2 linked regions of the Arabidopsis thaliana genome follow. The protein of the gene in region 2 interacts with the protein of the main gene of each other region in a pairwise test. Each region holds a gene or a part of one and is shown on either strand. Other genes may lie near its edges. The genes, in order: KLCR2 and CLPB4.

Region 1 (5,380 bases), on a different chromosome or scaffold from region 2:
TGGGGCGATCGGACGTGGAATGGGATGTGGGAAGACAATATTTCTAAATGGGACAGAACTCTATAGTTCTTCCTGCCAAAACCGTAAAAATTTCATAAGTTGGGATGGCATACATTACACCGAAACCGCGAATATGCTAGTCGCAAACCGAATCCTCGATGGTTCGATATCGGATCCACCTCTCCCTACCCAAAAAGCATGTAAACTCACGAAAAAATAAGTTGCCATGATATAAACTAATAAATGTCTAGCATATTTCTGGTGCTTTCAAGTAACTAGCCAAAATTTCTATTCACATCTCTCTTTTTGTTTTTGAATCAATGTAAAATTTTCTTCAAAAAGTCATTGGTTACAATATATGCAGCTTTAAGCAGAATGTTTCTATTCACATCTTATCATATTAGTTATTATATAAAAGACTATATCAAATAATCAGTAACTTGTTTGGTAAGAAATTTTAAACCGCTTAGTTCAGATTATCTTTTGCTTAGTGACAACTTTTCTTTTGTTGCTTTGCTAAGTGACAACTTCTTGATTCGGTGGGTCGTCTCTTTATGTTCTCATGCTACATATGTATGTGTATATTCGGTTATTGTTTTTTGTTGACATTCATGAACATTACATGACAAGACCAGACAAGATGTTTTAGTAACCAAACACTTGTTGTTTACTCAAGATCAGTGCTCAAAGTTAGAGAAACTGCCATCAAGGAGATTTTTAAACTCCAAAATTTCAATGTAAATCACATTACAAAACGACCAAATCAATTGCGTTTTACTCTTTACATTTTATTTATAAAGAAAACAAATGCAAGATTTTTTTTTTTTTCCTTCACTTTTTATAAAACTAGAAAACATAAAGCCTCTTCATTTTTTTCCTTCTCCCTCGACCGTGTAAGTACCGTATTCGAACTTGTATTTTGTATATATATACATTTTAGACCGGACAATAATCCGGTTAATCAATAAACCGGTCTCTGTCCATTTGCAATTTCAGGGTTGTTGTCCAAAAGGGTAAGAAGTGCTCTGTTTCTTTTACTCCTTCCTCTTCCAGCTTCTTTCAACAACGCAGCAAGCCTCTGCTTCTCGTCCTCAACCTCGGGATTTGCCGTCCCGAGCTTCTCTTCTCTTGTCCCAACAACATACTCCAATATCTCTATAGCATCATCTAACCTGTAAAGCAAGTAACACATTGCTTGTACCGCAGGGAAATACCAAAAAACATAACCTAGCAAGAAAATTGTTTTAAGTTCCAAATTTACCTTCCCATTGCGTCGTACGTTCCAGCAAGGTTACTGTAAACCGCTAATGTATCGGGATGGTACGGTCCACACTCTTTCTCAAGAATAGTTTTCGCTTCTTCAAACAAATCTGCAGCTTCATTGATCGCGTAACGCTGAACGCAAGCTAGTCCCATCTGATTCAAAGCAATCCCGAAAAGAGCGGTTTTTTTCTCTCCGCTATTGCGGAACTTTGATATCGCGCTCTTGAATATGTCGTAGGACTCGGAGTAATTTCCCATCATATAAGTAACCACACCCATTTGAGCTTCAATACCTGCAATCGTGTTCTGTTGACCTGGAGCGTTTGCATATATCTTCAACGCCCGTCTCAACAACTTAAGAGCTTGATCAAGTTCATTCATTGACTGATATATCGCAGAAATCTCTATAAAACCAGTCGCAACCTCTTCCATAGGAGTTCCTGGAGTCGGTTTTAGGTAAATCTTGAGAGCGTTTTCGCAGTACGATTTGGAATCGCGTGTTTTCCCAATCTTGTTGTACAAGTCAGCAAGCCTAACGTAAACCAAAGCAACAGAGGAATGAGTCTCACCTTTTCCTTGCTTAAACACAGCTAAAGCCTTCTGGTATGCGAATATCGCTTCATCAAACCTAGCTAGCGACATGTAAGCATCACCAATACTGCAATCTACAGCAGCAACATCTTCTCTATGGTTCTGAGATGACATTGCCATGCTCGCTAAAACATAATGCTCAAGCGCAACTTCATAATCACCTTTCGCATCGCAGATAAGTCCCATCAGTTTTCTATCCGCAGCTTCTTCAATAGAAGCTGTAGCGGCAGCACCGTTTTCTTTGTGAATGTCCAATGCCATTTGACAAAGCCTTGAGGCTTCTTCAAACTGCATTGCTTGAACATGAGCTTCCGCTAAGTACCTACAAGTTTCGCCAACTCGTGCATCCGATTCTCCAAGAACTTGTCTTTGAATCTCCAAACCCGCGGTGTATAGCATAATCGAATTTTCAACTTGACCCATCAAACCATACATGTCACCAAGCTGCATACACCCTGCAAATTTCGCCAACGCGTGATCCTCACCATCTTCAATCATCGGTATCTCGATAGAACGTTCAAGAACAGGCACAGCGTCATTGTATCTCCCTAACCCTGCATATATCGCTGCCAAGATATGCAAAGACATCACCAAATTCAACCCAAGTTGTTTCTCTCCTTCCCCACATTTCTCAAACACTTTCACCGCTCTCAACGCTAAATCAAGAGCCTTGTTTAAATTCTCACCTGAAGAAACCAACTCTCTGGCTTGCTTCAACAACACCACACCAAGCTCAGGACTCTCCTCATCAACAGAAACCTTCCCCAAATCCGGTGATTTCCTCGAAGAGATCCTCGAACCCGGCATCTTCGGATTATTAGGACTCGTTTTCGCAACCTTCTTACCATTCGAAAGAGGTTTCTTCTGACTCAAGCTACCTTCTCCATTACTTTCTTCCTTCTTCTCCAAGATAATCTCTTTCTTGCTCTCTCCTTCTTCTCCTACATCTCCAACCAAATGCCTCAACTCCAAATCAATCCTAGATTCAGCTCCATACGAAATAAAACTCGCCCTGGACGGAGACTGATCATCAGAACTCTCCATTTCACAAACGTTATGATACAACTGCTCAATAGAAGCATTCATAGCTCCATCAATTGCAAGATCTATAGAACTCAGAGGACTCCTCGGTGAAGCTTGAAGGGCAGAATCGTCTTTTACCCTCTCATTGCTCTCTCCTACGTCCATGGCCTCCAAAACTCACAACTCAATTATAAATCTGAATCAATGGAGACCAAGATTTTAGATTCAAATCCGTTAAAACAACAAGATAACATCAAAAGACTCGAAATTGAGAACCATAAGTCCCTAACTAGAATTATCTAAAGCTGACATAGATTCAGTTACTAACAGAGAACAAAACCCAGAATCAAATTCAACGAAATTGAAAAGAAAAACGAAAACTTTGAAGATTTTAAGAGATAAAAATCGAACCTTTATGTGTCTTTGACTCTGAAGAAATCTGCAAGAAGGCAAAAAAAGAACAGATTCTGTTTTTTGGTAACTTAGTGTGGTTGTGTAAGAGATGAAAATGAAGGATTTGGTGTCTTGTACTTTTCACTTTTAGGTGTTTGTTTTATATCTTCACTTTCATAATCTCATAGCTAATGTTATGAGAAAGATGAAGCAACAACATTTATGCACAAACCCTTTCACTGTCCTTATATGTTTTGAAACAAAAGCAGACTTTTTTTTTTGGGTCTACATTGCTTACTTTAATTTACCTTTTAAATTGAATTATTGATTGATTATATTAAGATAATGAAGATGATAATTGACTCTTTTTGATGTGATTATATGATTATTTTTTCAAGAAAGAGATGCATAACCAGAAATTTTTTTGAAGATCATTAGGTTTGAAGATGATTGACTCTTGAAGCAATAAAAAGAAGATGACTTCTTCCCTACTTGCACTCTCTCTTTAAATAATTTATCTTTTTTCCTCAATTTTATAAATAAATTTATCTCTTTGAAAAATAATAATGAATGTCTCATCCATTTTTTTTATCATCTAAAATTTGATTAAAAATTTGCTGTGAAACCAAAGAAAATTACAAATTTTCAAAGAAGGAAAAGTAAAACCGACAGATAAAAAATAATTCCCCAAAAATTACAGCAGAAAAAAACGAGATTCTTTCTGGAAACTAAACACTATGAAATGAATGTTTCATCCATTTCAAGATTACCTTTTTTTTAATTAAAACTTTTAAAAAATATTGTTTCCTTCACATGCAATTTTTTCATGAATTTGTTTTTTTAAAGTTAAAGTTTGAGTTTTGCCCGTTAAGAATTAATTATTTTTCTTATTTATCCTAAAAGAAATATTGTTTCCTTGAAATGCAATTTTTTAGGGATTTAATGAGTTAAATTAGAACAAAAAAAAATTGAGTTTTGCAGGTTAATTAGCCAGCTAATTAAATGCTGGGGAAAGATCACAATTCACAAGTCTACGTCAAACCCTACAAATTCACAGCTGTATAATAAGTACCGTTGAGATTCCGCCACGTGTCATACTTAATCATCAATTATCTCTAATGATCATCCCATGATCTCTAATCTATATACGTAATATTAAAAACGTGAACAGTTAAAAATTTAGCCTTTTGATTGATATAATGATGCAGTGTTTTTTTTTTAGTATAGTCTTTAACTCTTTATGGAAAGAAAAATTGGACCACTGGATTTAAAGGATTGAATCACTAATTTAGTAAGAATTTTTCTTAATGACGAAATGATATGACACGTGGACTACAGCTGCATACCAGTTAGACAGCCTGGTTTTATGGTCCAGATGTGGTCCACCTTTAAGCCCATTACGGCTTTATGGGCCCTTATAGTCATCAGTGTAGGGCCTACCCAAAATGTAATTTTTATAGAACTCTCGTTCCCATATTTCATGAGTCAATTTTATTGTGAAAAAACGATAATGCGCTTAAGGCAATTTTTTCACTAGCCAACCAACAAAATATCGAAATGACTATTATTTTTATTTATTTTTTTTTTCTTGTCACAACGAAATGACTATTTATATATGTTTTTGTTAAGAGCCCATAACATTATATTATTTGGTTGGTCGGTCATATTATATATGCAAATTATGTATGACTTGGTTTCTTACAAGAGACAGAGACAACCCACACGTTTGTTCATAATTCTAAGACCTAACAACGTCTCTTCCTTCGGATTTTTATTTTTGTATATTGCATAAAGACAACTCTGTAACCACAAATACTTTATTATTTCCTATTCACAAAGTTATAAGCAATTCTTTTTTATCGTCAGTTCATAAGCAATTCATTGGATTAATTTATGAACTGAAAACAAATTGTAATCATTGACGACTGTTGGGCGGTGCTGTTTTCTTTAACTCTTTCGCCGCTCGAATCCCATATCAAATCTTATCTGTTCACAAATTATTTGGTTTTCTAAATTCCTACGCGTTTTATATTACCAACACGTTTTTGTTTTCTTCGAAAATTTTAGGTCAGAACGTATATAATTTTGACAAATTTGTCAAATACTATCT
Region 2 (6,939 bases):
AATGGCGTCGAAGATGATCCTGCGCAATGACGATCCGGAGAAGGTGTTTCCGGATAAAGAGGAAGAAGAAGCGGAGGGAATACGATGGAGAATGAGAGGATCAACATTGTTCCGGTGACACTTCGCCATTATCGCCGATCAGTTCTATAGAGCTTGAGGAAGCAAGAAAGAGAGAGGGAGAGAGAAAAGAGTTTGTTCTGTTTGGAAGCGAAAACAGAGGAACCAAAATGATTTTAAAGAGATTTATCGAATATTTTACAAAAACAATATTGTGGAGATCTAGAGAATATTTAATTTTAAGATTGAGAATTTAGAAGTTTCACATTTATATATAGTCGGGTTTTGGGTAGTTTTGACGAACATAACGAACGTATATCAAAATTAGTTCAATCATTCAAATAGTAAAAATATAGCTAAATTTTGATTATAATTTGTAGGCTCATTTCGCAATTTCAAAAGTACAATTCTAAGAAAACGATAATTGTTTAGACTCCATGTACCAGGTTGTTTCCCTCATTGCATGACACGACCGACATTTCTCAGTCCCTAACTAATACTTTATCACTAGTAAGAATACTAACTCGTTTAAATATCAGACACACGAATTAATAAGAAACTTACTTAAGAATAAACAAATACTTCAATGTCGGAAGCTATTAAAGAGAAGGATCCGAATATCCGATTCAATTCTAGCGACATGAGAACGTGGTTAAAAAAATTATTATTCCAAGTCAAAAACGTTTCTTCAATTTTGATTTTGTAAGATTTGTAATCTCCTTACTTGAAAATCAGATCTGTGACAAATTCTAATAGTACCACATTGGTACGTGAGTCCTTAAAAGCTCCATAAAGTTCATAATTTCAAATGCTAACGGAGGAATAAGTCGGTGTGTTCCCATTTACTTTTGTCGGCAAAAGATAATCCTCAAAACATTACATTCCGTACGAGTTAGAAGAGAGAGCAACACTAAAGTACGAATCTACAAAAGACAGAACAAAAGAGTTATAAACGCTAAACCCCGAATCGTCTAATTTTGTTTGTGCAATTAAGCGGCCATTTCTTCAGCTGAAGCATTACTCTCAAGCTTCTTGATAACCAATTTGTTGTCACTAGCCAAGTGGTCAACATCGACAAGAACGGTATCTTCTTCTGCAAAATCTCCTTTCAAAATCCCGACAGCGATCTCATTCTCCACCATCTGTTGAATCACTCGCTTCACCGGCCTTGCCCCGTAGTTAGGGTCAAAGCCAAGCTGAGCAAGGAGATCCACTGCCTCTTTGGTATACTGAAGTTTGATTTTCTTCTGTTCCAAGCTATTCTTCACCCGTCTCATCTGCACATTACACAAATGTAATAACATGAAGCTAATGTCTTTAGAAGAACAAAGATTCTGAAAAAACAAAGTGGGTTTAAAAGGGTTAGTTACCTGTAACTCTACGATTTTGGAGATTTCGTTAGAATCCAGCGGCTGGAAAACTATGTACTCGTCAATTCTGTTCATGAACTCAGGCCTGAAATTTTGTCTTGCTAACTCCACAACTTGCCGCTTCATTATCTCATAAACTGCTTCTTTGCTGTCTTCATTGTTGCGGAGGGTCTCAAGTATGTGGTGAGATCCTATATTCGACGTCATAATTACAACACAGTTTTTGAAACTTACGGTCCTTCCTTGAGAATCAGTTATTCTTCCATCGTCTAGCAGTTGTAGCAAGATATTAAAGACATCAGGGTGGGCTTTCTCGATCTCATCAAACAGAACCACCGAGTAAGGTCTCCTGCGAACAACTTCAGTTAACTGCCCACCTTCTTCATAACCGACATAGCCAGGTGGTGCACCAACAAGCCGTGAGACTGAGTGTTTTTCCATGTACTCACTCATATCGACCCTCACTATTGCATTTTCAGTGTTAAAAAGGTATCCCGCTAGAGCCTTGGCAAGCTCGGTCTTACCAACACCTGTTGGACCCATGAACATGAAACTAGCTATTGGGCGGTTAGGATCAGAAAGACCAGCCCTTGAACGTCGGATAGCATCTGCTACTGATTTTACAGCCATGTCTTGACCAATAACTCTATGGTGGAGCACTTCTTCCAACATCACTAACTTCTCTCTCTCTGATTGCTGAAGATTAGATAGTGGAATACCAGTCCACTTGCTTACTATTTCTGCTATGTCAAGATCGGTAACCACTTCTCGGAGTAGTGACTGTCCAAACTGTCGGAAATTCGTGAGATTCTTCTCAGCTTCTTCTAATTGGCGTTGGAGGGACAAAAGTGTTCCATACTTCAGCTCAGCAGCTCGGTTTAGATCATATTCACGTTCAGCAGATTCAATTTCGAGGTTAACTCGATCAATCTGTAAAACATAGAACATAGAAAATGTTACGGAGGACATTAACGTCGACATATACCAACAACGAAAGCAACCACCACAAGTACTACCACTAAAAGTACGAATTTAGAACAAGAAACTGCAGTGTGTCTTGTATAAAATTATTTTTATGAGACGTTAAGTCGAAAAGGCATAGTGATTGAGAAAGATTTTACCTCTTCCTTAAACGAACGTATTTTTGTCATGAGCGACTTTTCTTTCTCCCATTGGACATTGAGTTCTTTCTGTTTCTGTTTGAGCGTGGACAGATCATTCTCAATCTTCTGTAGCCGTTCTTTAGATGCTTTATCAGTATCATTTTTAAGAGAAAGCTTTTCCATCTCCAATTTGATCACAGCTCTATCTATTCCATCTAGTTCAGTTGGTTTAGAAGTGATCTCCATCTTCAGCTTTGCACCAGCTTCGTCAACAAGATCAATAGCTGAAAAAAGAACATTCATCTTAGAAAAAAATACTATGGTCAAACACTTCCCAAAGAAAACTGGTTGTAATCAGGGAAAGTGCAAGTCCAATGTCCATACCTTTGTCTGGCAGAAAGCGTTCGGTGATGTAGCGGTCTGCAAGAACTGCTGCTGAAACAAGGGCACTATCTGATATAGTAACGCCATGGTGTAACTCGTACCGCTCTCTTAACCCACGAAGAATCGAGATTGTATCTTCAACAGAGGGCTGAACACATAACACTTGTTGAAACCTACGCTCTAGAGCTGGGTCTTTCTCTATATATTTGCGGTATTCGGTCAGTGTAGTTGCACCAATGCATCTCAGTTCACCTCGTCCAAGCATTGGTTTCAAGAGGTTGCTTGCATCCATTGCTCCATCCATAGCTCCTAAATAAGAGTAAATAGCAGCCAATTCGTTAGTTTCACCTTACCAATAACAAAGTACTAAAGTGAGTCAAAAGAAACAAGATTAACAATATTAGTAGATCTTTCAATAAAATTTTCCATCTCCAATTTAACCATTTATTTGGCGATGCAATGTTCTTCTACTCAGCCACATTTTAACCATTTATTATGCATATGTACATGTATCGTGTATAAAAAAGATCATCAATGTTTAAAGTATGTGGATAAAATGAAAAAGGTACCTGCACCAACAACAGTGTGGATCTCATCAATAAACAAGATTGTTTGCCCATTGGAAGCAGATACTTCCTTCATTACTGCTTTCAACCTCTCCTCAAAATCTCCTCGAAATTTGGCACCAGCAAGAAGTGAACCCATGTCGAGAGATATCAACTACATGATAGAGAAACCAAGCCAAACATGTTAGAATCTTCCTCCAGCCTTTCTACGAGAAAACTGTGGTCCATTAAACAAAACAGTCCAAGGCCAAAAAGAACAAGAAGAAAACTGAAGCAATTTACTGGAATGAACCTTTCGATTCATGAGAGGTTCAGGGACATCTCCTCGCACAATTCGTTGAGCCAACCTGAAAAGATTAAAATTTGGCAGAGTAAGAACATAATATTTGATAAAGAAAAGAAAAACAAGGGATATAACTACAAGTCTTACCCCTCTGCAATTGCAGTTTTCCCTACACCAGGTTCACCAATAATAACCGGATTGTTTTTTGTTCTCCTACATAATATCTGGATGCAACGCCTAATTTCATCATCCCGCCCAATGACAGGATCCAGCTTCCCTCGTCTAGCCATCTCAGTTAAATCATTTCCATACTTTTCAAGTGCTTGATATTTGCTTTCAGGATCTACATGTGTATTAGCAAAACGTGATGAGAGTAGGCAAATGTCACCAACACACGTCTTACATCTACTTACCAATGTTCACGAATTCAATGTAGAACATAAGAATAAAACCATCATTATTTTTCCAGTCAAGTCTTTGATTGTCACAAGTAGCATATATAAAACATCATCTACACAGTGTACTAGCTATATTCGAAGTAACTTACTCCGATCAGTTACTCGTTGATCACCGCGTACATCTTTAATAGCATCCTTTAGCACTTGAATATCAAGTTTCATGTCCCTGAAAAACTCTTGTCCAAACCTTGTATCTGAATAATAAGCCAACAAAAAGTGCTCCACGGATACATAACTATCCAACATATCTTTCTTATGCCTCTTTGCATTTTCTAATATAACACTAAGAGATGACCCTAGTCTCTGACCACTTGCATCACTAACCTGCAACATCACAACAACTTAAATTGACCTGCAAAATTATGTTCTGATACACAGAAAAAGAGAGATTAAGCGCAACACCGTACCGTTGGTTGTTTAGATATGAACAAGTCTGTAGCTTGAAGAACAGAGGAATTGTCAATTCCAGCTTTAGTGAAAATCTTTCTAGCCATACCATCTTTTTGCTCAAGAAGAGCTTTCATCAAATGTTCAGATTCCACAATCTGTTGTTTCGATTCACGAGCCGCGTCAAAGGCGTTGATAAGCCCTTCCCATGCCATCTCCGTAAACTCATTTTGATTAACCTATTATCACTAAACCATAAAATTAACAGTTCCAAGTTCACAATTGAGCAACTAACACTGAAATCGAGCACGAACCTGAGCTGTGGTAGTACAAAAGCGTCGCGGAGAAGAAAGAGGGAAGAGTTGACCATGAGTAGTAGTCGCATGAGTGATAGAAGAGTTATTGATTTTTCCGATGAATGAATTTGTTGGCCGGCCAATAGAGGTGTAGTGAGGAGAGGAAGAGAGAGAGCGAGAACGGAGGAGAGGAGAGGGTCTCGAGAGAGTGTATTGAGCTTTGATGGCTGACGAAACAGACTTTGATAATCTCCTTAGCGCCATGTGAGTAAGAAGATTGAAGGAAATGAGGGTTTTTGGTTTAGGGTTATGAAGGAGGAGGAAGAAGACGACGGAGGTTTTTTACATGGAGACAAGCGTAAGCTTGGAGAAGAGGGAAAAAGAAGTTTGTAGAAGAAAGTCATTTCATCGAGAAGTTTCCAGTGATGATCCACCACTGGGTTTTTCTATAGGCAGGCTAATACCTAAACCGATTTTCGGTTCAGTTTAGCAATTTGAGTCTTTTGGTATAGTAGTAAACCAAGTTGCATTTGTTTTATTAATTCTAGTTTTGCTCGAAAACCTCCCTTTTTTTGTAATATGTTTAAGAAAATTTTGCTTGTTTCATTATATTTCACAACAAATCAATTTATTATCAATACATATATATGTATTATTCTTTATTCATTATTCATGACATGAACAGATTAAGTATTACATGAACATATTGAGTATTACATATATTCACCCGTGAATATATTTACCCATTATTCACTGACATCAAATGAAAAGCATTCATTAAGACATTAACAGACATAGAAAATCATTCAGGCACCAACTAAAGTTAGTTGGTATCACCAAAATAAAGTTAGTTGGTATCACCAAAATAAAGTTTCTTCATAGTAGCCATCTCACGCTTGAATTCAACCATTGCGTCTCGTGGCAACTTCATGATCACTTTAACTCCACCTTCCATTGATGGATCCGATTTTGAAGGTTTCAAGATCATCCCTACGTGCACTGTGCTCTCCCGCTGGGTCAATGGTCGTAAATTCACTGGCTCATTCCAACCGAAATCCATTGATCCGAACCAACCAATATTCCTCCAATCCGTCAAGAAAAATAATCCATCGCTTACCCCTTCGAACATTGAATCATCTCTCATCAATCTCTCCGTGTTCTTTAGCTCTTCCTCGATATACCCTTTTTCATAGGCTGTTTTCTTGGCTTTCTTCACACGATTCGCGATGTTAGAGATTGATGATTCTTCGAGTTCTCTCACAGTTAGCTCGACGTAGACGTCTATGTAAGCGTTACCGTAGTATCCTTTAGGAAGTGGTGGGTCCAAAACATGTCGGATTCCAACAGCCACGCCGAGGACAGTGATCCCGTCAGGGTTTAGTTTTAGGGCTCGAGATCTTAATTTCCATATGTATGAACTAAGTACTTCATAAGTAGTGAAACTCTCTTTAAGGTACTCACATTCTTTCATCATAGAGTCTTTAAGCCTTTTTATATCCCCAGCACGAATGTTTATTGTCTCTGTGACCTGTTGGATAATAAATAAATAAAAATCATTAACCTAATTATTACAAAAATAAATATTTGCAAGATCTTCTAATAAGCTAAATCATCACTTAATATGATATTAATAGCTGAATCATTACTTTAATTATATGATATTAATTTGATACGGAGAGAGTATAAAATAAGCTTGACAAAATGACATACGACATCAGTAGTTGGCAAATATGCTGAGGTGGCCAAAAAACCATCAATATGGCTACCGGGCACTTTGCCTGGTTTATTGTCAATTTTTCCGACCAGCCGCTCTCTCTGCCACACTGACTTCACCGATGGCTCAGTCTTTCCTGCAGCCAACTCGGTCAAGGCATGGATGATCTGAGCCACACCGTATCCATCACACACAGCGTGTGTCAATGCGGTGCCAATGGTGAATCCTCCACAGGCAAACTTGGTAACCTACAAAAGAAACAAAGTGAACAATATATTATCTTGATTATGTATTGATAATATATTCAATGTTATAATATTT

The links.
Region 1: the proteins of CLPB4 (region 2) and KLCR2 interact in a two-hybrid assay, tested with the Arabidopsis thaliana proteins (one large-scale study listed by BioGRID).

The regions. Positions count from the first base shown.
Region 1 is NC_003074.8:10,379,552-10,384,931, forward strand, and holds KLCR2 (Tetratricopeptide repeat (TPR)-like superfamily protein), read right to left. Parts: upstream 3,699-5,380; 5' UTR 3,289-3,698; intron 3,108-3,288; exon of another isoform or gene 3,074-3,107; 5' UTR 3,043-3,073; coding exon 1,262-3,042; coding exon of another isoform or gene 1,258-1,261; exon of another isoform or gene 1,173-1,257; coding exon 962-1,172; 3' UTR 679-961; downstream 1-678. Other genes in the region: AT3G27950 (GDSL-like Lipase/Acylhydrolase superfamily protein), read left to right, coding at 1-220.
Region 2 is NC_003071.7:10,696,831-10,703,769, forward strand, and holds CLPB4 (casein lytic proteinase B4), read right to left. Parts: upstream 5,374-6,939; 5' UTR 5,169-5,373; coding exon 4,923-5,168; intron 4,848-4,922; coding exon 4,629-4,847; intron 4,546-4,628; coding exon 4,311-4,545; intron 4,107-4,310; coding exon 3,911-4,106; intron 3,828-3,910; coding exon 3,773-3,827; intron 3,635-3,772; coding exon 3,484-3,634; intron 3,224-3,483; coding exon 2,915-3,223; intron 2,815-2,914; coding exon 2,549-2,814; intron 2,358-2,548; coding exon 1,428-2,357; intron 1,335-1,427; coding exon 1,047-1,334; 3' UTR 799-1,046; downstream 1-798. Other genes in the region: AT2G25130 (ARM repeat superfamily protein), read right to left, coding at 1-129; AT2G25150 (HXXXD-type acyl-transferase family protein), read right to left, coding at 5,752-6,432, 6,615-6,866. UniProt on the Arabidopsis thaliana protein: Molecular chaperone that does not seem to be involved in heat stress response or tolerance.